Linked DNA regions of Mus musculus. The protein of the gene in region 7 binds, or shares a complex with, the protein of the main gene of each other region. Links are inferred from orthologs where the notes say so. Each region holds a gene or a part of one and is shown on either strand. Other genes may lie near its edges.

Region 1 (4,124 bases), on a different chromosome or scaffold from region 7:
TTTGACCTTTATCTGGTTGATCAAGACAATATCTTTCTAGCTCCACAACTTCAAGCAAGGTGGCTTTAAAAAAAAAAAGAAAAAGAAAAAGGAAGAAAGTTAAAAGTAGAAAAATGCTAAAGTTTAAACATTTCCCAGAAGACCTAAACCAGAAGTCAAAACAGGAAATCAGAAATCAACTGAACATGATACAGGAGTCACAGGTACTGGGTGACTGCAGTAGCTAGCTCCTTGGCCTGACATTTGCTGTCCTGCATTCACCAATAAGCACCAGCCTGCTTACTCTGAGTCTAACACAACTCTTCAGTCTGCCAAGAGGCCATGGACACTTATCAAGCATTAGTATGAAACATGCCATGTCATGAAACTCCTTGATATATCCAAGATGATGACTCAGCAGTTGCTGCAAAACAACCAGTTGACAAGCTCGGCTAGTAGAGGACAATGACATCCACTAAGTCCGAGGTAAGACTAGTTACTTACTTTAAGACAGAAACAAAAGCTGAGCTGCATACTTTTATATAAGCCTAAACACTTTTTTCTTTGGTCAATTCTGCCAAAATTAAATCTGCTAACCAAAAAAGAGTTATCTTTAATTCCAGTTCAAATTAAGATGTACTTACATTTTAAATTAAATGACTGAGGCAAGAAGCTAACATGTCTTAGAACTACTGAGCTCTAAAACCATACAGCTTGAAATCTGTACCAGCTCTAAAACATGTTTGGTTTTAGTTGAATGCACTTCTCTCTCAAATTAGTTTGGTTTTTTTTTTTAACCTAAATACATTTTAAAATAAGCTGTGATCATAACTTTGGCTTCTTTCTAAATTCTATCATAATATCATACATAATATTGGCTTCTTTTTAAACTCTATCCAAGCCATCCATTTCTTTGCTCAAACTGTTTTCAAGCAATCAGAGGTGGTTCATTACTCTTAGTATAAGAGTATGTTTGCCTTAATGTCCATTGTACAGTATTAGGCAAAGTAAAACGGCCAGGCTTGTGACCTGATTTTAATCTTAAAGTCTGCTTCTGAAGACCCCGGGCTCCTCAGCATTCAGGGAAAATGGTAATATTGCAAGGCTTCCAAGCAATGACAAATAACTTCTTAGTACATAAAACACAGCTGTTTCTATTCAAAACTTTCCCTATCTTTATTTTAAAAATCTCAAAAGTGATATAATTTAACATTACCAACAAGTATTCAATTTTAGCACTAGCCAGAATAAACAAAAAGTCTACATTTAAGAGTATGCAACAAGTTATATATTAGCCCTTCTTCAGTAAGCTTAAAATATACACTTCCTACTTTTAAAAAGTGGCTTCGTTAAAGTGAGTTTTTAACGTTTTAATTCTCACAATTTTTAATAACTGAAAGTGTTCTCTGAACCAACTATCTCGTTTACAACAAGAATCGACATTTTTATAAACACCCAAAGAAGGCATACGGTGGCTTAAGTAACACCCCTGGTGAGCCCGAAATACCTTAAACTTCTAGAAAACGCCCAGTATTAAAAATATTTGGTGTATGAGATCAGAGCTGAAGAACTGGTCAACTGTAGAGAGTGGATGATTCTGGTCTTCAGTATATAGAGCGGGGTGGAGAGAAGAGAGGGAAGAACCACGCATCAGAGACCAGACGTAAGAGCGGCGAGGGACTTTCAAAACGCCTCAGTGCCACATAACTATAACTCAGTTAAGAGAGGAAAGGATGAGAAGCTAAACCAGTGTGTTCCGATCTGGAAAGGCCAAGCAGACAGACGAGGGGACCGGACTACCATTAATGATTTAACGCGTCTAAAACCGAAATTATTCCACGATATGGGTAACAGCGCCCCCTCCCCAAGTCTCTCCGGGCCGCGGTGGCAGATTAATCTCCCCGCGCACCCTGAACCCGGGAACACAAGAAAGAAAAAGCCTGCCAGCGGATGGGCCTGTTGCCACATCTTTCCCTTGTTCCCTTCGTGAGGTCGTGAGGAATACCATTTAACCCCCAAAAACCCGCCAAAAAAAAAAAAAAAAAAGAAGAAGCAGCAGCAGCAGCAGCAGCCCGAATATCCGAAGCCTGAGATTTCTTTTCCCGCCCTGTGCCCGCCAGGGAAAGCCCTTGGGCGGGAGGGCTGGGAGAGGCCGCTCGCATCCCACGTGTCTGCCGCCAGGCCCGGCCAGGCTCTACCCACTTCCCGTCGCCACCCGGGTCCAGCCTCAGGCCCTCTGGTCCCCTCCACGTGGGGCCGCCGGGTCCTCGCACCGCCCCCCAAAGAGACCGCCCGGAGCCGCCCAGTCGCCACGGCGTACCGGTCCCGTACCTGGTGTTGGGGTCGCCCCTGTTGGTAAGGCTTCACCGGCCCCTGGTGGCAACGACGAGTCCGGATCTTGCCGCCGCCGCCGCCCCCTCCTATGCCTCCGGCTTCCGAGGCCATGGCGGAGCCTGGGCGGCCTCCCACTACCGCTCCCGGGCGGGAGAGGCAGAGGCGGCGGCCTGAGGGCCTCCCCCGCCCGGCCCTAGGCGACACACAGACACAGCGAGAACCGCGAGGGAGCGAGCGGGAACTGAGAGTGCGCGCGGCGGCGAGGAAGGCGGTGGCGGCGGCTGAGGGCCCCGAGGTGGCTGAGGAGCGCCGGCCGCGTGCGGACCCCCGCGTCTGTGTTTGTCACCGTCTCTATGGAGATCTCCCGCCGAGGCCGGCGCGAGCAGCTCCGGGCGCCGCTGAGGCCTAGCTCGACCGCCCGCTGCTAGAGGCTCCTCTTCAGTCGCCCTGGCCGTCGCTGCCGCAGTCCAGGCCGCTGGCGCCGCCCGCCAACCCCTCCCCCTGTGCGCGCTGCGCCCGCCCCACCGCCGCCGCCGCCGTCGTCGTCCCTGCAGTCGTCGCCGCCGCCGCCGCTCTTGCGCCTATTACCGCTGTTGAGGCGGCCGCCCCGGTCGCGAGCCAGAACACCGTCACTCCTCCGCGACCGACGCTTTGCGTCATCACGCTGCGACAATGCGGGGGGGGATGGGTGAAGGAAGGAAGGGTTGGCCGAGCCCGCGCTCCCTGTCGTGGGAGCCTCTGGGAAATGTAGTTTTTCTGGCCAGAACGCGGATTCTCGGAAAGGCAGGCTATAGCGGAAGGACACCCACGGAGCACCGCAGAGGCACAAAGCCCGGGTCATTTGGCGGCGGTTGGCTGCTTGTTTAGATTCAGAAGGGCACTCGACACGAATACTGTAATCTCCCATTCATCAATTATAAGCCGAATGGAAGTAAACAGTAAAATCAAAGAACCATAATGCATCACAATCCGGGGGGGGGGGGGGGGAGACCGCGTTGAAATTAACCGTGGCCGCGATCCCCAGGCCAAAAACAAAGTAGGAAAGGCATTTGGCACTTGGGAGGCAGACACAGGGGAATGGCTAGTTACACATTACCCTCAGCTTCATAGTGAGATTCTGTCTCAACGAAAGCAAAAAATACAACTTCATTACTGTTTCATTAAACATATAAGGGCTTTGTTGTCAACACACACCGTGCTGGCATTCTGAGTTGCTTCACTACTTACAAACTTGACCTTGGATGACTCTACTATTTAAATCTACCTTATAAAGTTGTGGGGAGCTAGTGCGGTCGTCTGTGTAGAGAGCACCCAGTAGATTTCCTGGTATACAAGAAACGCAGTAAATGGTTGCAATTATGACCTATGCAATCAACACACATTAAGGGTGACTCATATATCCCTAGTAAACATATATTTGCTTCAGTTAATATTATAGTTAGGTGACTAAACAATGTATCCTCAAAGACCGGATACACCGTGTTAAAGATGCAGGCATTAGACAAAAGGTCTGTGTGATCATGTGGTCCAGCCTAGTCATTCAATGGACTATATGGAAACCAAGAAAATTTAAGGGGCACCATTAAGGGTATCGATTTAGAGCCTGGCTGGTGACAGACATCTTTGATCCCAGCACTCAGGAGTCAGATGTAGATGGATCTCTGTGACTTCAAGGCCAGCCTGGTCTACAAAGCGTTTTCCAAGACAGCTAGGGCTGCATAGAGAACTGACTTGGAAAAAAATAAAAGAGGGTGGATATCTAATTGGGCACTCAAAGCCAGGACTATAACCCAGGGTTTTTTTGTTTTTTG
Region 2 (3,500 bases), on a different chromosome or scaffold from region 7:
GGTAAGCAATTCCTCCATTACAGAGTTTGGCCTCAGTCTTAAATTGCATTGCACATTTAAAATGTTTCAAACTTGCCTGGATTGCACAGACAGAAACAAAGAAGAAAAGTTGTATTTTGGAAATTAAAATATTGTCCTTCTTGAATGTTCCCTCACAACTTAAAATTTTATTTTTGAAAATAAATGTATTGGTGGTTGTGTTAGCACATGCTGGGTATGTTAGCATATGCCTGTAATCCCAGCACCCAGAAGACTAGAACAGAAAGATCAAGAGTTTGAGGCCAGACCAGCAAAATGGCTCAGTGGGTAGCAGCGCTTGCTGCCAGCCCTGGCAACCTAAGCTTACCTCCTCAAGTCACATAGTTGAAGGAAACAACTGATCCTGAAAGTTGTCTTCTGGCACATGCGCACACAGACACATAAATGTAACTAAAAAATTAGTTTGAGGCTAACCTAGACCATACATGAGACTCTTAAGAATAAAAAAAGCATTAAAAAATATAAATGCTGGAGCTAGAGAGATGGCTCAGTTGTTAAGAGCATTGGCTGCTCTTCCAGAGGTGATGACTTCAATTCCCAGAAACTACATGGTAACTAACTCACAACCATCTGTAATGGGATCCAATACCTTCTTCTGGTGTGTCAGTGACAGTGTACTCATTCATTAAAATAATCATATATATATATACATATATATGTGTATATATGATATATATGTATATGTATATGTGTATATATATATACACACACACATATATGTGTGTTTAAGTATACATACATATATACATAAACAAACAAACAAACAAACATGTAGGGGTTGGAGAGATGGTTCAGCAGTTAAGAGCACTAGCTGCTCTTCCAGAAGACCAGGGTTCAATTCCCAGCATTTACATGGCAGCTCTCATCTATCTATAAAATCAGTTCCAGGGGGTCTGACACCCTCACACAGACATACACACAGGCAAAACACAAATGTGCATAAAATAAAAATAAATATTTTTTTTAAAAAAGATAAAATGTAAAATTCAATACCATCTCGTTCCTCTGTGCTTTGGTCTATAAAGCTGGTATCAAAACAGTACAGAAGAGCCATAAGGAGGCACAGATTCACTGCATCTAGGGAGCCATTGGCCTCAACTGTCACTCTTTCCAAATGTCCAATAAGTAGGAGGGTGTCATCTTTGGGTAATGGTGACTGGCAAGCCCAGGCAAAAAGACTTTCAGCCAGAGACTGCCTGCACTCCTTGATGAGATCAGAAACCTACAAGTAACAATATGATTGTGACATAAGTTATAGCAAGGTCTGGCATTACAAAACAGTGTCTTCCATAAAGGCTAACAAAATTAACTGATATGAATCCACACATGCTCGTAAAGTTGCTGGGATTCTGAATAAATTCTAGAGGTTTAGTCCTTGAGAAACCACGCTGACCAATTGCTTGAAAAACTCATTTCAGAAAAAACTAGACAAGGCATAAACAGAGGCACAGCAACTGGAACAAATGCAGGCACAATCCATGAGCAGAGCAGTCTACACATTTGAAATGCAGTATTGCCACAGGGGTGATTGCTCATACTCTTAATCCCAGAAGCAGTGGATCTCTGAGTTGGAGGCTAGCCTAGTCTACATAGCAAGTTCTGGATCAATCGACTACTACATAGTAAGACCCTGCCTCAAAAATAAATAAATAAATAAAAATAAAAAACCAACCAAAAAGAAAAAAGAAAAAAGAAAAGGAAACCAGTAGCAATGATGATAAAACAGTATTTTCATCTGCCTAAGTGAAATGAATATTCTGTAAGCTCTTCTGTTCCACATCTGTCAAAGACACCCATGAGGTCATCTTATAGAACCCTTGCCTCTTTGCGGTGTTTCTCACTGCCCAAACCTCTCTCTCTCTGTAGTTTCTCAAACTCATTATTCACATCAATCTGTGACAGCAAAGTAAGGACTTTGTAAGTCAATCCTTGCTCCATCAGCTCATCTGTAAAGCGTGTTGTCATGGAAACCAGCTCTGGACTGCAAGGAAAAGAAACAAACAAAGCTATAACGAATAAAGATACTGTTTTGACAACAGTCTATTATTACAAACAACCAGGATGAATTATAGTCTTGTTCTTTTTACCCTTTCTAAATCACTGGAGTTAAATAAATCTCTGTGATTTTTCACTTGCAAATAAGTCAGGTTTAAACTAAGGTATTACTCTGGAAAGAGTAGTCCAGTATATTATTGACCTGAGCTTACAGTTTACTGAAAGGGTACACACTAAGGAAAAACTGTTATTTCCAAAACTCAAATTCAAGTAATTTCACATTAACCCTGTAAGTCCCCAAAGGCAAACAGACCTGAGTTCTAATGTCCATGTCTTTCCTCGTCTAGACTGTATCAGGGTTCTGAGAGAATTTGCAATGCACCGCTTTCCATCCCAGTATAAAAGGACAGCTACCAATCCCCTGGTGAGGCCAGGGAAATGTGGCTGCTGATGCTCTCCTAGAAAAGGAATTGATTATTTAGTAATAAAGCTCAAATGTGTTTGAAACGTATGCCAAAATGTATTCAAATAAGCAGGTCTTAATGTTAAGGGGACCCTTAGGGTTTCTACTCCCTGCATCATTCCTGGCATAGCAGATTCAAAGGCCCATCAACCATATGCCAGGGTACCAATAACAAGAAGCAGCACAGTTAAAGAGGTGGTGGCACACACCTTTAATCCCAGCACTCAGGAGGCAGTGGCAGGTGGAACTGAGTTCAAAGCCAGCTTGGTCTACAGAGTGAATTCCAGGGCAGGACAGGGCAGGGCTACACAGAGAAACCCTGTCTCAAACAAACAAACAAACAAACAAACAAAAGAACAAGAAATTCATCACTTTCCCAACTCAATTTCACTTCTTCTCTAATTTCCTATGTTGGGCCCACTCTCTCACCACTCATGTGAACCCTTGCAAATGTCTGCAAGTTTCCTCCTTTCAGGATCTACTCTGCACTGCCTCCTGTCAAAACCACTCCCATGTCTTTCTTAAATCACCAGGCTGTGTTCCTTTATAGCAGCCTTCCCATAGTATCTAGAGCATGGTAAATACAGAGGACATGTTGTTAAATCAAAGTTCTGGGCTGAGAACAGCTCAGTGATACAGTGCTTGCCTAGCAAGCACAAGGCCCTAGTTCTATCTCCAGCTCTGCCAGAATAAAAAAGAAAATCTTAATTAAATTTAAATCTCAGGTATGTCCAGTTAGCATCCCCTCACATAAGAGAAAACTACCTTCCTTATCTTCAATAACTAATTTTCTTTGGTCAAAAAGGATTTTAGTAGTTACATGGTATATTTAAAGAAACTCAACAACCATTCAACTAAGATGTATGTATCTTCTTCACATGGCTCCTTTGTGATCATTAGTGAATTGCTTCTTTTATGGAAATACTGATCTCTATGTAGCAGCCACAAATTGACTCCTAGGTCATCTAGGATTGTACATGCTTGCTTCAGTCCCCCAGTAATA
Region 3 (3,500 bases), on a different chromosome or scaffold from region 7:
CACAACAAAGCACTCTTACATTTTTAAAAAAAAAAAGTACAGAAAGAAAGAAAGAGAGAGAGAGAAGTTAGTTCCTATCCAAACATTTAATACTTACTTCAAACTCAAAAATATTGGACTTTCAAGTCCTTCTATGGGCTTCACAGCCTCTTAGACCTCCACTGAAGGAAAGGTAGCTGCATTACTGACTCTGAAACAGTGGCATTACCCTCAACCCCATAAATGTCCCTTAATTATCCAAGTATTGGACACTAGAGTTCTGAAGACACTATCTTACTTTACTCTCAAATAGAGTCTCTTTCTTTTCACCCTAACAATCTTGATCATAAAGTCTAGAACTTTCTGCCTCCAAAATCGCTTCAGCTCATCTTTGACCTTCTCATCAATTACTGTTGTAAAATACAAACTCCCATTCCTTAAACTCCGCTGACTGAAGTCCCATCTTCCTTCACTACGTAAGACCATCCATCAGTCTGACTCAAGGCTGCCGTCCCAGTGCTCTGACCCTCCTCTAACAGAGGGGACTGCATGAGATCAAGCTTCTCATCGTGCTGAGCATGTAGTACCATGCCGCTTTGTCACTTCTATGCTAGACTGCATCTACTCTACTCCTACAATCTTCTTGGACATCTTCTATCCCTAAAGATTTAAGTTAAAAAAAAAAATTCCCTTTGCAAAAACTTAAATTTTCCTGGGTGAAGGCTTGACAAAGATTTCCTATAAAAGGCCTGATAGGAAACATTTTAGGTTTTCAGGGTCCTAAGCTCACAGTCTAAACTGCTATGCTATTTGGTAGCAGAGAAGCAGCGTCCACAAATGTGGGACGCACAGAGAGCACAGTTCGGTTCAGTCCCGGGGCTACAGGTAACAACTCTGACCCAAGACAGCAATCTCTCTCACACAGAATCAAAATGTCCTGTTACTACACTTACATCCTAAGGCCCTCACCACAATTTCTTGGTAATCTTAACTACCATTCATCCCGCCAAATGCAAAAATTTCAGTGCTGGATAAATACTCAAAATGAAAACACTGTAACATTTTATTTTAGATAGGATTTTAAAATGTAAGAAATACAAGCCAAGAACAGATGAGGTGAAAATCTCTCACTTCTATTGACCTTCCTTTAAGAGCAGAGATTCCGGAAGCACCTGCTCCTCCTTGGCCTCAGCCGAGTGACGGATGGACGCTAGGTAGCCTGCACTGAATGCACTTTAAGGCTGTTTTCTCATCATGGGGAGAGCCCAATAAGCCAGGCACATCTGCAGATATCTGTGGGACAGTGTCCTTAGGCAACAACAAATGGTCCATAAAGCTAAGGTTTAGGTGATATGAAACTCTGTTCTGAAGTAGTAAAATATAAAAATCTGCAATACTTAGAATAGTACTTATGAAAAAATGTTTTACAAAACTCTGAATAATAATGCTTAAAATAGCCTTCAAAAGTTAAAGACAGAAAATAAAACAATGAGATTATAGAATAGAATGTTTTAATGTCCCAACAATACAAATGCATTCTGCATCAAAGGAAGCACTATTTTCTCTGCCTGGCACAAACTCTTGGAGTGTTTTGCTTGGAGACAGGGTCTCATTGGCCCTGTCTGGCCTGGGGTTCCTCATGCAGACCAGGTGGACTTCAAACTTCCAGAGCCTGGGTTACTTCTTTGTGCTGAGTGCTGGGACTACTCTTAATCCCAACACCAGCATTTAGTAGCTCTTACTATCCAGTACAGTGCTTAACATTTCACATGCTCATCACCCACATACCTCCCAGAAACCACATTACACTGGTCCCCATTTCATCGATGAAAACGAGTCACAGACAAGTAAACTAACCAAGTTACAGAGTCAGAACCCAGATCTGAAGCCTGGAATCTGGTTCCAAGGTAGCCTGTGCTAACTTCACTGTGGTGCTCTTATGAGTTTCCTAAGGGGGGGGATCTGCCTTCTCATTCCATTTCTTTTCTTTCCTGTATTATGTCTTTAATATTTAAATAAAGGTTTTGTATATACATATAATTGTATTAGTTTTAATTTTTTAATATATGAAAATAACTACATGCTTAGATTATGACCCCTAAAATGGTATCATTGGTCAGTAACTTAACAAAATAATTCATATAATGTCTATATAACACTGTAAGCAATATAATTAAGTTACAGTAGCCAATTCCTAGCCTTCCAGAATCTTCTATTGAAAAATCTTTAACTGTATACACCCTGAGTAACTCATCCTGAGTAACTCATTAAGATCACTATCCAAGATCCAACTACAGTAAGCTGCCACCATCTTCAGGTGGCATTTCCTAAGTGCTCCTATTTCTACCCTGCCAAAGACATCCCTCACAACAGTGTCGTTGCTGTTGTCTCAACTTTACAGCACAGCACTGTCCCTGAGATTAAGGTTAGTGAGTACAGAGCCTAACAAGCTGTCAACTTAACAAGATGGACTTCATGTCCCCATCTCCCACCAAGACACCATGTCCTACTTCCTTCTTCTCTCCACTGTACTAACAAAAGTCACAGCGCACAGCAGTCTTCACTAATAATCTTAAACATCAGGATACTAAATCTTCTATTTTACTGGCAAGAAATAATTTTTGGTTACCCTTTAGTGATTAATTTTAATAAACCATAAAATCTAGACAACAATTCCTCGTTCAAGAAATCATCAAAAGCCAACACTAATTCTCACAGTATAGCTAGAAATATGTTTTTTCTTTTGAAAACATACAAAAATCTCGTAATTTTCCAACAAGTACTGGGTATAAAGGCGACTAAGTACATACCAACTTCATTAAAATCTTCAAATGTGATCTTGCCAGTGGCTTCTCTGTCATAATCTTTAAGAATCTTCAACACATCAGCCTTTTTCACATCAAAGCCCAAGGCTCTCATTGCCACCTTTTGGATTAAAAAGGAAAAACAAATTGTAAAGCACTACTTACAAAAGAAGTCATCAGTGATTTCTAAGGAAGTTTTCCATCTTAAAAGACAACAGCAGATTACTAAAGCACAATTATTCTGTATTTTTACCTCTAACTTAAGACTATGAAACATCCTGGTTTTTCACTTTGAAAATAAATAGAAATTATTTTCATTGGCATTTTGCTGTTTTATATGACCAACTAATTAAAAAGAATTTACAAAAAATATATAAAACGATGCACTAAATACAAAGATAACTATTTGTTACCAAGGGAATAAAGACATATCACAACTATTAAAAGGCTAGACAAAAGCATAAAAGCAGGGAAAAAAAGCAGAAAAATTTCAGGCCTCCATGGTTGACACAGTGGAATTTTATAATCTTATCACTCAGGAGACTGAGACAGGATTGTCATAAGTTTGAGACTAGTATAGGATACACATTAAGATCCTTTCTCAACAAACAAGCAAGCAATCGGCTTTCCCACCAGAGCATACATAATTAGCTACTATGGTACAATTAGTTTCAGATGACTGAGTTTAAACAGAAAACTGCTACTAGTACCAGGAAA
Region 4 (3,500 bases), on a different chromosome or scaffold from region 7:
ATTTTATTATTTTATATATTTAATTATTTATTTTAGAGAAGGTCTCACTGTGTAGCCCTGTCTAGCCCTGAAGAGATCTGCTTGCCTCTGCATCTCAAGTACTGGGATTACTGTTGTGTACAACCATGCCCATCAAAATTCTTTAAAGAATAAGCAACAGTAAACTGTTCACACACGTGAACCTCCCCATGTGCAGATGGTGTTAGCACCCATCATAAGGACACCCAGCAGTTCTGTCACCCACTCCTGATGAGACCTGACAGCTGCCCTTCCCCGTTTTATTGAGGAACCAGTTTCCATCCCTTAACTTCTGGCACTTTGAGAAGGCAGAGAGCAAAACCAACAGGGCCGAGCTGCAGCTGTGCTTCTCCTCCTCAGCTCCCCAAGGTTCACCTGAGTTACCGCGTGCACATGTGACTGAGCTGTCTGTCAAAGGACAGCTCCAGAGATGCAAATAAAACTGCTGTAACACAAGTGACCTTTGTGTTAACTTTCCACTTCTCAATCAAAATTATAAGATTTGCAGGTGGGTGGACAGAACTGGAAAATATTCTATTGAGAGGTCCAGGCTCGGAGGGACAAGCACTTTGTTTGCTCTCACATGCAATCTTAGCTTTTCTTACATATTTTTCTTTCTGTGGCGACGAGTGTGCATAGAGGCCAGGAAACTAAAGAGGGAGGAGAAAAAGCAGTGTGGAGGGTGATGAGGCTGGTAATAAACACATGGGATCTGAGGGACAGGGAGCAGGGAGATGCAGGAGACTCAGCCAAAGCTAGGTTACAGATCCCAGCACTGGGGAGCAGAGGCAGGTGATCTCTGTGAGTTCAAGGCCCGCCTGGTCTACAGAGTGAGTTCCAGGACAGCCAGGGCTACACAGAGAAACCCTGCGTTCAAGAGGGTTGGGGGAGTCATGGGGAGGAAACGACCCTGGGAACCTAGCATAAGAGCATGCAGTGGAGTTGGCAGGCAGCGTCAGGCTCTTCAGCCACTCTACAGCTGGGCAGCAGTGCCCCACTGGTGCTGTGTGCACTGTTCTAACGGCTGACAGTGCCACACAGCTCCTCATGTGCTGACGGTAAAGTTGTGTCTCCTGAAGACTCTGCCCTGCTTTTTTTTCCTTTCTTCTTTTTCTTTGGTTTATGTATTTTATGTATATGAGTGTTTTGCCTGCGTGTATGTACATGCATATGTACATGCCTGGTGCCTGTGGAAGTCAGAAGGGATCCAGTTCCCTGGAACTGGAGTTCTAGATGGTTGTGAACCACCATGTGGCTGCTGTAATTAAATTGGGTTCCTCGGCAGAAGCAACAAGCTCTTAACCTCTGGGCCATCTCTGTTTTTAAGTTGGATTTATGAGTATTTCCTCAGGCTGCATCTTGCTGTTTCATATTCTTATTTTACAAAAAGTATTGTTTGTCTGAGACGAGGACTTGCCTTGTCTAGCTCTAGCTGGCTTGGAATTTGACGAAGACCAGGCTCTGCCCATCTCTGCCTCCCCAGTGGTGGGATTAAGTGTGTACCTCCACATCAGGCTCTCCGTTAGCTTTGTAAGAAATGTGTGTCTGCATGTATGCCTGCTTGTCTGTACGTTCACCACCTGCTTGCAGGTGCCTGCAGAGGTCAGAAAAGAGTGTTGGGTCGCCTGGAACTGGAGTTTCTTGCAATCATAAGTCACCCAAAGTGGGTGCTGGGCACTGAGCCCATCTTCTCTGTATGAGCCCCACAGGCTCCCACCCGCTGAGCCTCCAGTCATTTCCAAGTCACCTACCTGCACAGAATGGACTTCACCTGAGGTCGCAGCATAAGACAGGGCCACCAAATCAGCGCTCCCGTGGAAATCGCTAGGGGGCAGCTGGAGTTCTTTGCAGACAGACAACTGTAAGACAAACCCAGATAGAAAAACCTTTACATTCAACCCAATTTGTTCATTCTGGCGCCTCTAATTTTTCTGCATACTTTGAGTCCATCCTGAAACACTATTCCACAATATCCTTCTTTTCTCAGCTCTTTTTGATCAACAACAAAGTCAGGGACACATGGACGCTAAAATGGACCTCTATATGAACCAGTCTGTGCTTGTCATGCCAGGCCAAGGGCTCTACTTGTTACAAGTGGCTCCCAACCTTCCTAATGATGTGACCCTTTAATACACTTCCTCATGTTGCAGTGACCCCTCAACCAGACAATTATTTCATTGCTACTTCCTAACTGCAATTTTGCTGTTATAAATCATAATGTAAATATGATATGGGATGTCCATGGGGTCATGACCCACAGGTTGAGAACCACTGGGCTAGGGGAAGTGGCCAAGTTTCCTGCAAAACTTTGCTAGCTGAGGTAATATCTATTTGACATGTAAAATTATTATGGTCAGAGAGAAATTACACCAAGTCTCCATCAAACTATTTCTTAGGCTTGTAGCTGTACACTCAGTTCCCTCTGCTAACTCAGTACACATGCAGAATCCCCCCTCCTACTTCTAAGTACACATCCTTTCTGTGTAGCCAAGGAGGGCGGCAAGTCTTCAGACACCAAGATTCAGGCAGGAAGGAGCCCATGCTCCCATGGGACGATGACCCACATTAGTGACAACAGCTAGGAGATGGTCTTGAGAGGAGGCTAAGAGGATGTTAGAAGTGTCACCAATGCTTCCACTGTTGGGAGCTGTCCACCAAGGTCGGCCTAGCAACTCATGTCATTTTACCACTATGAATCCAACTCACAAACAAGCATGCTCAGGTCTCAGCTGTGTGGGCCGTACCAGTGCTAGATTTCTATAGGCACTGCTCAGCACTGTGGTCCCTGGACATTCTCAAAGCCTCTAATCTAACTTTATTAAGTGCAAATAATACAGATTTTGTTTAAAAACTATTAAATGGCCAAAGCACTTCAGGTGGGAAAGGATAAGACAGAAGGGCTCTCTGTGTAGGGGAGGAGCCTGTTGGATTGGGTCTGGTTTCCTTTATCAAGGTAAGGAACTCAAGTTTGGCTGAGGATAAGGGCAATGAGAGCTGCTGGTCTATATTTACTCTACATTGAAGGCCAACATTTAATTCCTCCCTGGCATCTTAAGCCACTCATATTTAAAGTTGATGTTAGCCAAAGGCACGGCTCCTCTTCTCCCCACCTGATAATCCTTTTGGAGTTTAAAGTAGGAAGAGAAAATAGGAGCTTAGAGTAAGAGAACACCATGCTGATGATCCGGGATTAGCTCCTTCCTCACTTCTTCTCTCCCCTCCTCCTTCTTCTCTTCCTCTTCCTCTCTCTCTACACACTTTCCCTTTCCCCTTTTACTCTTTCTTTCCCTGGTTGTCTTGAAATTCAAGACTATGTAGACTAAACTGACTTTGAATCCACAAAAACTCACCCGACCTGTCTCTGCCTCAGGAGTCTGGAACCAAAGGCATGCACTACCACACTGGGCTGCTTTGTTTAATTTTTAAAAAATTATTAATTTTATATGCACAAGTAATTTGCCTACATGCATGTATGTGCACTA
Region 5 (3,926 bases), on a different chromosome or scaffold from region 7:
CAAACAAGTATGGTACATTGTAAAAAAAAAAAAAAAAAAGAAAACATACTTAGTAAAGTGAATATAAACTCAGGGGTTACATAGGAAATATAATTGTATATAAAGTACTGTACAAAACAAGCAGACACTAGATTCATTTTTAAAATATAGAAGCAGTGAGTAGGGTTGTAGTCAGGGAAAATACATTGCTAAAACAGATAGACTGATAAAGGCAGAGGAGGAGAGAGGTATTTTTCACAATGGCCTTCAAAGAATTACCAGGGCCCTGAGTCCTTGTAATGCAGAAGAGCAGAATTTCTGAAAGCGTTCAAACCTCAGCTATTTCAGGAAGGTTCTTGCCAGGAGGTTCAGGTGGAAGAATAATCTAGGAACCAATCTTAAGTGTGAACCATTTGTCTGAAAATGTCAGATTGACACCTGATTTATTGTATGATAATTTAATTTTTAATAATAATAAATTAAAACCAAAAATGACTAGCATTGAAAATCTCGGTGTTAAAAGTTTTTACTGCTTGTGATTATCATGTGGCCACATGAAACAAGATAATGCTAATACCTTAAAGAAAGCCAAATGAAACGTAGAGATCCTCTCAATTAAAAATACTATCTTCTCCCATGTGGAAGGGATAGATTTTGTTGGATAAAGCTCTTTGTATGTCTAGATTCTCATGTTTCTACCATTATGGGTAGAAAGCATGCTAATTATCTTAACTAACTTACCATTTTCTGAGTCATCACTGTCAAAAAGTCACTGAAGTTCATTTTTCCTGTTCCTTCTTTATCAATTTCACTTATCATTTTCTTAATTTCTTCTTTCTTGGGCTCAAAGCCCAGGGCCCTCATTGCCACCTACAATGAAAACAGAATCATCTAAATAGATACATAACGTAAAAACAAAAATGACTATTGAAGATATTAACCAAACACCTGATAAAATGATGGAAATGATCAGGGAACACTTAAGGCTGATTTAATTGATATTTGCAATCAACTTTATCAATTAGACCATTGTTTCAGGTAAAATATACACAGGGTACCCTTGTCTGTTACTTTTTGCAGGCAGAAAGGAGAAGAACGGTAACAGCTAAAAGACAAGCAATAAGGAAACACAAGGTAACAAAGAAAAGGATGTGTGCAGCTTACCTTCAGTTCTTTGATGTCTATAGTTCCAGTTCCATCAGCATCAAAGAGATCAAAAGCTTCCCGGATTTCCTGTTTCTGGTCTTCAGTAAGTTCAGGCTTAGGACTCATCCTTTTTCTCTGGGCACTGGATGCCATGGTTGTCTTCTTAAAATTAGAGGCCTTCACACAATATATAAACACAGAAGCACATTATTACAAGCCATAGTCCTTGTTTTATTTATGACAGCTCTAAACATACATATCTTTTTCAATGAGGTGTGCCATCGTTTGTAATGTACTTATGTCATTACGTAAACTTCCATGGGCCAGTGAGAATTCTTGCTGCCAAGCTTGATAACCTAAGTGGGAACCAGGACCCAGGCTTCAGTTGTCGTTGTCAAAGATGAAAAGGGAAACGATGCTTACATGGTAAAAGGAGAGAACTAACTCTTCCAAATTATTCTCTGACCGCCACACTCAGGCTAAAATGTGCTTCTCCACCAAGGAATAATAAGTGTAAAAACTAAAATAAAATTAACCCCAACTCTAAATGACAAATAGCACAAACCTCTGTGAAGAAAAAACTTTCTCTCAACTTAAAACTATTTCAATTTATATATGTCAGTTTTTACTAAGTTATAAAAAAAGAAATTGGCAATAATGAGGTTATTTTCTAATATAACTGTAAATTTGTCTTAATGTGATGTCTCATATGACTAAATTCAACTATATTTCATTGGGGAGCCACCAAATAGAAGAGAGTTTTTGTTTTAAAATAGTATATTACCATTTTCCTCCTTGTTCTTGTATAGATCAACATAGAGCAAGTGAATATATGAATATGAATTTCTAGTGTTAACATAGCCTTCATGAGAAGACATAACTCTGACCTCCACTGTCTTAAAGTTTATACTACAGAAAGTTCATGCAATTGTACCATTAATCCATGTGTCACTTTAGGAGATTCAATTTCAGTCATTTTTAAATCTAAAAAAGCATCATCAAAAGCTCTTTGAGAAACCAATTACAGTTATGGATGATCAACTGTATATGATTTCCGTACTCTCGGTTTTAGAAATGTACTTAAAACATCTACTTGTGGTGCCAGTTCCCAAGAACTCTGCTCCTCCAATTACTTATGCCTAAATTTGGCTAAATGTAAACTTACTAAGATAAAAATTATGCCGGTACAAAGTGATAAAAATCAAACCATTTGCACCTGCGTGCTTTCTCACAGCCTCTCCTGAAAGCGTTTGCGACCATCAGAACACAGTAAACCTCTTAGCACCAATGCATAAACTTTAACTGGGTGGCCGCGGCCAGGAGGCCTGAGTTTGACTGAGGCGGAAGTCTAAGGGAAGCAATAGAATGGTCACCCTGCTGTTTCCTGAAAGCCAGCGGAGGTCCAGAGGCAGTTTGTGCGGGGGTGGCTGAAGGTGACTTGGGCGAGGAGGGGGTAGTGGGAAAGAGCAGGCAAGGCAAGCTGCTGGCGGCTGTACTTTCTCTTCTACCCTTCCGGCACACAGCTCCAAGGAAGAACTAGTGCGTCAACGCCAAGAACCGTGCAAGAAAGGTAGCAAGGCTGCACCGAGGCCTAGGAAAGGACCGGGGACGCCGCGTGGGGTCCACCGAATCCCTAGCACTTACCATCACCCAACGGACTCTGCCACCGGTTGTTAAGGCAACGGCGTACTCGCAGCCTCAGCGGCGTTCCCACTGCTCCACGCGCGCACAGCCCGCTTCCCATTGGTTTGGGAACGAAGAGGTGGGGCTAACCTGGCAAAACTCGCCCAAGAGCAAGAGGGCGGTGCGTCGGCAGCCAAAGACTAGCCTCATTGGGCAAAATCATGCTGTGAGCGTCAATTGGTTGCGCCAGAGCCAAGCTAGACCAATCAACATTATGAAGGAAGCTCTGCTGATTGTGGGCTCATATCTATCAGTAGAAAAGGGTGGCGGGTGTTCAGCCAGACTTCTCTGGTTGCCGGTTGTCTGCAAGCTGAGGTCGATCATTTGAGTGTCTAAACCGGGTAAGAGTTGCGGGCTTGCCCTTAGAGGCTGCTGCGTGTGGGTGACAGAGCCTGGAGGAAGTAGGAGGGAATGGGTGGGACCCATTTTAAAACCGAGTTGGGGGACACAGAACATCTGAGGGGCCAGCAAGATATGACCAAATGGTTTGGAGGGGTGACTGTGCCAGGAGAAGCTGAGACCTCGAAACTGGAGTGGGCATGCTGAGTATTGTGTCAGTGGTTCACAGGGCTGGGGCTTAGAAACCCAATCCACATGAGGCTTTGTCTTTACATTAGCTCTACAAGAGTCACTTTAGCTCTCAGGGGAATGGGCTGGGGACTTTTAGATCTTCAAAACTCATCAAAATGTGTCCTGTTAGACGTACAGACACTCAAGTCACATGGGAAGGAGCATTCCTGAATGAGACTCCCTTGAAAGCAAAGCCACAGGAGTTTTGGAAGTATGGAATGTAAAGAGAATTAAAGGGCAAAGTGCACAACGGGTTGGGGCTACCTGGAGCTGTGCCAGGAGTAATGAAGGCCCAGGGTCGAACACAGATTCTATGTTCTACGTCCCTCAAAGCAAAGAAAATCAGTTTAGGGACTTTAAGGGCACAGTATCAGTCTCTCAAACTGAGAAAGGCCTGAGACTTAACAGCTCCCCATAAATGTAATATAGGCCCTTTGCCCTCTTTCCTTTAAGCCAGGAACCGGCTTCAAAACTTTTGTGTCTTGTTTGGCTCCTTTGTTCACTGCAGCAACAATCCCCCATATCCAGCCTCTGAGTTCTCACAGTTC
Region 6 (2,981 bases), on a different chromosome or scaffold from region 7:
CTTCGGTGCTGGAACATCTATGGGATCACTGTCAATACGGTCATTAAAGATTTAAATTATGAGTGTTGCTCACTACTACTGAGGTCACTGCTTCAGTCAGTACAGCTGTACTGGTTGTACCACCTCCTGCCCTTGTTTTGCTGCATGTGAAATAAAACCATTTCACCCTGCTTGGCATCTTTCAATACAGAGCACAGCGGTGGGACACCATGCTATGAATTCCAACTAGTTTCTGAAACTTGTGTTTAAAGAAGCTAACCAAAGAAATTAGAGGGTGTTCCAAGGTCACTGGCTGAGTTGGGTAAGGCCTCAACCTCATCTGGGCAGGATTAATCCCCTTGCACCAGTCCCGTGGGTCCCTGGCTTCTCTAATGAGACGGAGCAGGGCTATTCTCTATCAATGAGCTCTTAAGCCAGGAGTGGAAACATCCATCTTAAAGGCAACTATTGTTCATTTTGCAATGTCAGGTTCAGAATAGACAATTTTAAAACCTCCTTGGTAGGATTAACAATTGGTCTTATATTTGCAAAACAATTTATTCTTTAAAATCTATTTACATTGCCATACAAAGTTACTATATTGCAACTGTCCTCATCTTCTCTCAGGAACCCTCCAGTGAGCCTTCCCTTATAATTGCCCGAGCAAGATTCCGGGCAAGAGCCAGTCTCAGCATCTCCACCTTGGTGGTCTCTATGTCGTCATCCTAAAGAGCAGAAAAACAGTGTGAGGAGCAACAGGCAGCATTCCAGGAGAGCATGGAGCCATCTGAACCTACGATTACAGTTCAGAATATGACCAGTATAGCATACTAAGTTTGGCTCTGCAGTGGGAAGACTTGCTCCTAAAAGTTGGTGTTACAGAACAGGTTAATAGCTAAAAGGCACATGAATTCATAAAAAGGCTAATGTTTCAAGATGGCAGGATAATGGGAGGAAATCCTGAGACAGAAATCTTTCCCCACTTCAACACAATCATCTTCCCAGGAGTTAAAATGACCTGCAGTCGCTGGGCATCAGGTTCACCACACTCTGGCCTCCCTGAGGCCAAGTCTTCCAGGCACCGCATCAGCTCATATGTCTGCTCTGCTGAAAAAATCACCTAGGGGAAAGAGGCTGCGTCACTCAGCTGCTCCACAGGCACAGCTCCAAAGTCTTCAGGGAGAAATATTTGCATACAGAGCCCTGGGCTGCTGGTATGCTCCTAAGTCTTACATCCATCCCTCTAGTGAGGCATCTTCCAGCTGTTCTGAAATGAATAGTGGATTGGTGCTCGAGCCTTGGACACGTGTACACGGTACTGCTTAGGCGTAAATGAGCTTCTGTATGGCTGCAGAAGCCAGCTGAGGAAGACCACCAAAGGCACAGAACAGATAGGTCAGATGTGATCAAGTATTACCTGTTTCTGTTCCAAAAGAGGAAGGGCATCTGTGAGCAGAGTCATCCAGAAAGAACGAGGTGCAATCTGAGAGGTCATGAGGGACAGCAGAAGAGAAGCAGCGTCACCAAAGCGCTTCTCCCCGTACAGTCTGTGGAACTCCCGGTACTTTCCTGTTGAGGGGTGTGAGTTCACCTCAAAATTCCTCTCTACTTACCTGATACTTAGAAAAGCTATCCTGGCTTTAAACTAGGACTCCATATACCTGGAACTGTTTCTAGAACAGTTTCAAGTTCACAAATCAATGAAAGGTAGGATTCAAGGATTTTTATGAGCACCAGCCTTGGGGAAGTGTCAGTAGTGCAGTGAGAGATCAGTTAGAGCGCTGGAAAGATGGTTCTGCTAATCGTACTCACTCTTCTTGTACAGAAGACATGAATCAATGCCCAACACCCACATGCCAGCTCACAACTGACCAACTCCAGTCCCATGGGACCCTCCTCTAGCTTCTGCAAACACCAGGCCAATATGTGGTGAGCACCCATACACAAAACAAAAGTTTAAGAAGATTAAAATACTCCACGAATCCTGGTGATGTACATGAGGTAGAGGGTCTGAGACACTAATCTCTTCCTGCAGTGAACTGCCAGCTCACACAAGCAACAAAAAAATCTCTGGTGGAAGCATGATGGGAATTGGACATGGATACCATACCAAACTCTTCCAGGCTCATAATCCCAGCCTTGGGGAGGGAAAGCTAAAAAACTTCTCTGTGTGAGAGGCTAGCCTGGGCAGCCAGAGAGGTACACAGTGCCACCCTGTCTTCAAAAAATGAGTATGAAAAGTGTATATAAAATGTGTTTCTCATGCTATTTATTTCCCTAATTTTGGAATTATTGGGAAACAAAATGTTACTAAACTATGCAAAGGCTAACACATGCAAAGGCTGGCTGTCCATCTCCCCAAGTGTCCACTCTGGAATACCCAGGGGAAAGAATGACAAGACTCACCCAGAAACGTCAGTCGATCACTGAGCATCATGGCTGACCCCAGATTGTCAATGAGATCCAAGTCAGAAAAGCAGCCTCTCTCACAGTAATCCCGGAGGAATCTGCAGGGCCCAACCCAAAGATGAGAGCAGCAATCCTAGGCCCACCTCAAGCTCCAGCCAACCACAAAGCCTCACCTACCTGTCAGATACGAGTGTGGCAAAGGCAGCATCTTTGGCACGGATGCTCCAGGAGAGTGCTGAGCCCAAGCGGTTATTACGAACAGCCTTCATGGCCAAGATCTTACAGATGCTTTTAACTTGCAGGAGAAAGGACAAAGGGCAAAGGCTCACACCTTATAATCCTCCTGTGAAAAGCCCTGTGGGGACAGGCTCGGCCTTCCGACAGCCTCACTACAACCTAAAGTACTCAATCTACAGCTAAGTGAGAAAACCAGAAACTTCCGTTTATTCTTTGTCTTTCCTTTGCTCATACCACAGATGACCCACTCACTAGACTGGCTTTCTGAGTGTTTGTCCTTGGGTGGCAAAAAAGATCTTGGTTTTCCTCCACATTAATAGTCCCACCGTTATCTGTCCTGAGACCACACAAATCTC
Region 7 (3,500 bases):
GGACATGAGGTTGATTTCCATCATCCACCCACACGGGGGCTCCTAACTGTCCACCGGAACTCTAGTTCCAGGGAATTCTCAGGCACACACGTGGTACACAGACATATATGCTGGTAAAACACTTTCATAAAGTGATAAAATTTGGAGCTGTGCCTACACTAGACCTTATTTCAGAAACTAAAACCAAAACCAGGGAGGGGCTGGGGTGTCTCTGGGGTAGGAGAGAGCCAGCAGCAGCCTGACTCCTTGAAGGCATTGCTGTCACAGACAGTTTTGCTCATCCTTCAGTGAACAAATTAATGTGCACATTCTTCAACAAAAAACATATACCAAAAAAAACCAACCCTTTTTTCTTGAACTTGTTCTGAAGAACTTGCATAATCCTATAGATGAAGATTATATGAGGATGCTATAGAAATATACCACAGACCTTAAAGTCTTAAATAGTGTGCCTAATAAAATCAAGAAGTACATATAGGAATACCACATGGCCCATCTTTACAGAAATAATGTAGTATTAGGAAAGCTATCATTACAATCCACGATGACGATAAACTACAGAAAGTTGTTAACAGAAGCTAAAAGAAACAAAACCCCAAAAGACCACTGACCGTTTCCAGTCTCCTTCCAACTGTCAGCAAACAAACTTCCTTTCTTAACAGTAACCAAGAATTTACATATTAAAATGAGACAGTTGCCTCCAAAATAGAGAAGTAAAATAGTCTATAACAGTTAAGATGCAATTATATCTTCACATACACATAACAATAAGAGGTTAGGGGGACAGGAAAAAAGATAACCCCATATAAAATTACTATTGCTGACATACAGATTTATTACTAATGAATCTTTAAAAAGCAAAACAAAAAGCCATGTGCTGGGATGTGGCGCAGCTGGCAGAGATGCCTGGCATTCATGAGGCCTGACTGGGTGCCGTCTGCTCCCTCATAATCCCGGCAGTTCTGACCCGACAGACAGGTCTAGGCCAGTTTATACTTCAGAGGCCAGTTTATACTTCAGGAGACTCTCAGAAAATGCCCAATAGTAAATAAATAAATAAAACCAATATAAGATGTGTGGTGTGATGGCGTATATCTATAATCTCAGCACTCAAGATGGGGAGACAGAAGGGTGGTGACTTTGAGGCCATCTGGACTACAAAAACCACACCCTGTCTCAAAAAAGGGAAAAGAAAAACAGAACAAATGACTCAAGAGTAATTTGATTATGTGTGTATGTATAAAAATACACAGAAAACATCTGATAGGATGTTAATCCAAGTTATTACGTTAAATAATTTGAGGGATAAAAAGAACTTTTACCCATAACTATAAACATTTGATTACTTTGAACATCATCTCTGTACTTGTAAATCTTTTTTAATGGGGAAATGCAAATGGAGGGTTGAAAAATCAAATCTGTAAAGCGTAATGGAAAAAACCTGTGACGGAAAAAATTCATAGAAAACTTACAGCAATTGCAAACATATTTTCCTCTTCTAATGAAGACTGTATTCTGTCTCTGGGGAAAAGAACACAAATGAAAAAGCTTTACTTTACACAAATGCATGAAGCCACCTGGTAAGCTGTCCCACACTCTGTGGTGTGACGGCGTAGAAACCAATGAGATGCAGTGGGCTCCATCATCACCTTTAATGAAGGAAGTAAGCAGTAACTACATCATCACTCCAGTACCAAGACCCGAGCACAAAGGGCAACCACTACTGTAGCCTGAAGGCACCCCCAAAGGAACGTACCTTTTCATATAGCATAATTAAGCAAATCTTTCAGTATTGCATAATAAAACCCCAAACCACCAGGTCTCTTTCTTCCCTTACTTTCTGGAGCCCAGGCTCGCCTAGGCCTCCTGGGATCACACGGGTGTTGTGCTTTGTCTGGCTATGGACTGGTAAGTTTGTAGCTCCCAGTTTTATGACCTGATGGCCCCTCTTCCTCATAACATACTCTCCACACCTCAAGTATTAGGAATGATAAATCCCAAGATCAGCAAACCTATGCTGAGGCTACCCCTCATTAACACTGAATTCATCTGCCGAACTGGCTTATTAGCTTCTGTTCGTCTCACTTAGGAGTTGTGAGCTCTACAGAAAGTTACCTGTACAAAGAGGCGAGCAGCCTCCATGTGACCATCTCCTGTTGGAGAAGCCAGAGCATACTGGCCGTCTTGGAAAACTTCTGCAGTCCAGGCGTTGCGCGGCTCACTATTTTACTGAGGATATTCACCTACGGGAAGAACACAGACATAAGAGGCTGCTTGCCTACCACTCTCAGTTGCCTGTGTGGCTAACACTTTATTTGCTTGGCTGCTTCCCAAGCCAATATTCCGCTTATTCTCACACATGACCATTTTCTGAAGTTCTGTTCCTTGCTTTATAAATAGCACTTTTAGGTTCACTGCAAAACTGAATGAAAGCTAGAGAACCCACCATTCCTGCTCCCACATCCGCACGGACGCCCTCCCTCACTATCGGCATCTCGCAGTAAGGGTGCGTCTGTCACTCCTGTCAGGGATGGCCTCCTGGATCTGCCCTGCTGCCCCCACAGCCATGGCCCTGGTGTGCGGGGAATCTGAACTCAGGCCCCCATGCTCGCAGACTCAGACGTTTTCTCACTAAGCTGTCTCTCTAGCCTCAGACTTTCTTTTCTAAGGAGCAGATTTCTTTTTTTCTCCAAAGAGACAAGAAAACTCCAAGCACTTAAGCTGACCAAACATAGGACAGAATTCACTTACCTGACTACCACAAATATTTTCATATTCTTCTACGAGATCAAAGACTGTGGTTGAAGAGTGCTTCAAGAAAGAGTGCAGGAAATCAGAGAACATGCTCATGGATGCTAAAACACAGGGAGCAAGGGAGCACCACGTCAGTTCCATACACTAACACATTCTATTGCACCAAAGCCACCAAGGTGACTACACATCTTTCCCTCCTTCCATAACTGTATTTGTAAGAACTAGTGACTTGGAGAGACAGTTGGCTCAGTGGTCAAGAGCACAATGCTCTTGTAGAGGAGCCAGGTTTGGTTCCCAGTACCCACACCACACAAAAGCTCACAACCACCCACCATCACTCCAGTTCTAGGAAAGCTGATGGCTCCTTCTGCACACCAAGAGCACCAGGCACTCACATGGTGCACGTCTACACATCCAGGCAAAGTACCACACACAGTACATTTTTTAAAAACCTTTACTCCTGCCTCCACCTCTAAAATGTGGGATTACAGAAGTGTGCTACTGTGCTAGGGGCCTCAGTATGTTCAAATGTGAATCTCTCAATCTCTCAATCTCTCTCTCTTTCACACACACACACACACACACACACACACACACACACACACACACACACACACTTTTTGGGAGGCTTACAAGATGGCTTTGGCTGGCCTCGAACTTTCTCTATCTACCAGTCACTCTGAGACCTCAAACTCAGAGGTCTGCCTCTGCTTCTGCCTGCTGAGTGCTGGGACTGAATGCATGTG

What was found.
Region 1: Nup107 (region 7) and Nup153 share a complex: the UniProt entries of both Homo sapiens proteins name them as parts of the nuclear pore complex. The link is inferred for Mus musculus from reciprocal best matches to the Homo sapiens genes NUP107 and NUP153.
Region 2: the proteins of Nup107 (region 7) and Nup205 are in contact, whole or in part, in a cryo-EM structure (PDB 7WB4), measured with the Xenopus laevis proteins. The link is inferred for Mus musculus from reciprocal best matches to the Homo sapiens genes NUP107 and NUP205. Residues at the interface, in NP_001091312.1 of Xenopus laevis: Gln134, Glu136, Pro189, Tyr282, Tyr283, Gln770, Ser772, Phe773, Thr774; in XP_041443600.1 of Xenopus laevis: Gly1247, Gln1248, Arg1249, Pro1250, Ser1458, Arg1506, Gln1507, Leu1983, His1991, Gln1995.
Region 3: Nup107 (region 7) and Cetn3 share a complex: the UniProt entries of both Homo sapiens proteins name them as parts of the nuclear pore complex. The link is inferred for Mus musculus from reciprocal best matches to the Homo sapiens genes NUP107 and CETN3.
Region 4: the proteins of Nup107 (region 7) and Nup133 are in contact, whole or in part, in a crystal structure (PDB 3CQG), measured with the Homo sapiens proteins. The link is inferred for Mus musculus from reciprocal best matches to the Homo sapiens genes NUP107 and NUP133. Residues at the interface, in NP_065134.1 of Homo sapiens: Leu875, Gln876, Ala878, Asp879, Val881, Ser882, Ser883, Glu884, Tyr889, Lys894, Leu897, Arg898, Leu900, Leu901, Gln902, Arg905, Ser908, Leu909, Leu912, Asp917, Pro918, Leu919, Tyr921; in NP_060700.2 of Homo sapiens: Trp937, Leu938, Ile941, Asn942, Gln944, Leu946, Tyr963, Ala965, Lys966, Lys968, Thr969, Leu970, Gly972, Leu973, Lys975, Leu976, Ala977, Leu979, Ala980, Ser981, Asp982, Ile992, Glu999.
Region 5: Nup107 (region 7) and Cetn2 share a complex: the UniProt entries of both Homo sapiens proteins name them as parts of the nuclear pore complex. The link is inferred for Mus musculus from reciprocal best matches to the Homo sapiens genes NUP107 and CETN2.
Region 6: Nup107 (region 7) and Nup85 share a complex: the UniProt entries of both Homo sapiens proteins name them as parts of the nuclear pore complex. The link is inferred for Mus musculus from reciprocal best matches to the Homo sapiens genes NUP107 and NUP85.

The regions. Positions count from the first base shown.
Region 1 is NC_000079.6:46,725,050-46,729,173, forward strand, and holds the start of Nup153 (nuclear pore complex protein Nup153), read right to left. Parts: upstream 2,801-4,124; 5' UTR 2,425-2,800; coding exon 2,311-2,424; intron 466-2,310; exon of another isoform or gene 1-465. UniProt on the Homo sapiens protein: Component of the nuclear pore complex (NPC), a complex required for the trafficking across the nuclear envelope. Functions as a scaffolding element in the nuclear phase of the NPC essential for normal nucleocytoplasmic transport of proteins and mRNAs.
Region 2 is NC_000072.6:35,187,616-35,191,115, reverse strand, and holds part of Nup205 (nuclear pore complex protein Nup205), read right to left. Parts: intron 2,493-3,500; coding exon 2,348-2,492; intron 2,021-2,347; coding exon 1,861-2,020; intron 1,262-1,860; coding exon 1,033-1,261; intron 1-1,032. UniProt on the Homo sapiens protein: Plays a role in the nuclear pore complex (NPC) assembly and/or maintenance. May anchor NUP62 and other nucleoporins, but not NUP153 and TPR, to the NPC.
Region 3 is NC_000079.6:81,786,247-81,789,746, reverse strand, and holds part of Cetn3 (centrin-3), read right to left. Parts: intron 2,905-3,500; coding exon 2,790-2,904; intron 1-2,789. UniProt on the Homo sapiens protein: Plays a fundamental role in microtubule-organizing center structure and function. As a component of the TREX-2 complex, involved in the export of mRNAs to the cytoplasm through the nuclear pores.
Region 4 is NC_000074.6:123,939,266-123,942,765, forward strand, and holds part of Nup133 (nuclear pore complex protein Nup133), read right to left. Parts: intron 1,878-3,500; coding exon 1,770-1,877; intron 1-1,769. UniProt on the Homo sapiens protein: Involved in poly(A)+ RNA transport. Involved in nephrogenesis.
Region 5 is NC_000086.7:72,915,545-72,919,470, forward strand, and holds the start of Cetn2 (centrin-2), read right to left. Parts: upstream 2,801-3,926; 5' UTR 2,773-2,800; coding exon 2,770-2,772; intron 1,303-2,769; coding exon 1,144-1,302; intron 850-1,143; coding exon 721-849; intron 1-720. UniProt on the Homo sapiens protein: Plays a fundamental role in microtubule organizing center structure and function. Required for centriole duplication and correct spindle formation. Has a role in regulating cytokinesis and genome stability via cooperation with CALM1 and CCP110.
Region 6 is NC_000077.6:115,581,444-115,584,424, reverse strand, and holds the end of Nup85 (nuclear pore complex protein Nup85), read right to left. Parts: intron 2,684-2,981; coding exon 2,566-2,683; intron 2,487-2,565; coding exon 2,386-2,486; intron 1,549-2,385; coding exon 1,397-1,548; intron 1,341-1,396; coding exon of another isoform or gene 1,213-1,340; intron 1,100-1,212; coding exon 998-1,099; intron 705-997; coding exon 603-704; 3' UTR 501-602; downstream 1-500. UniProt on the Homo sapiens protein: Essential component of the nuclear pore complex (NPC) that seems to be required for NPC assembly and maintenance. As part of the NPC Nup107-160 subcomplex plays a role in RNA export and in tethering NUP96/Nup98 and NUP153 to the nucleus.
Region 7 is NC_000076.6:117,779,206-117,782,705, forward strand, and holds part of Nup107 (nuclear pore complex protein Nup107), read right to left. Parts: intron 2,856-3,500; coding exon 2,752-2,855; intron 2,244-2,751; coding exon 2,116-2,243; intron 1,522-2,115; coding exon 1,473-1,521; intron 1-1,472. UniProt on the Homo sapiens protein: Plays a role in the nuclear pore complex (NPC) assembly and/or maintenance. Required for the assembly of peripheral proteins into the NPC. May anchor NUP62 to the NPC. Involved in nephrogenesis.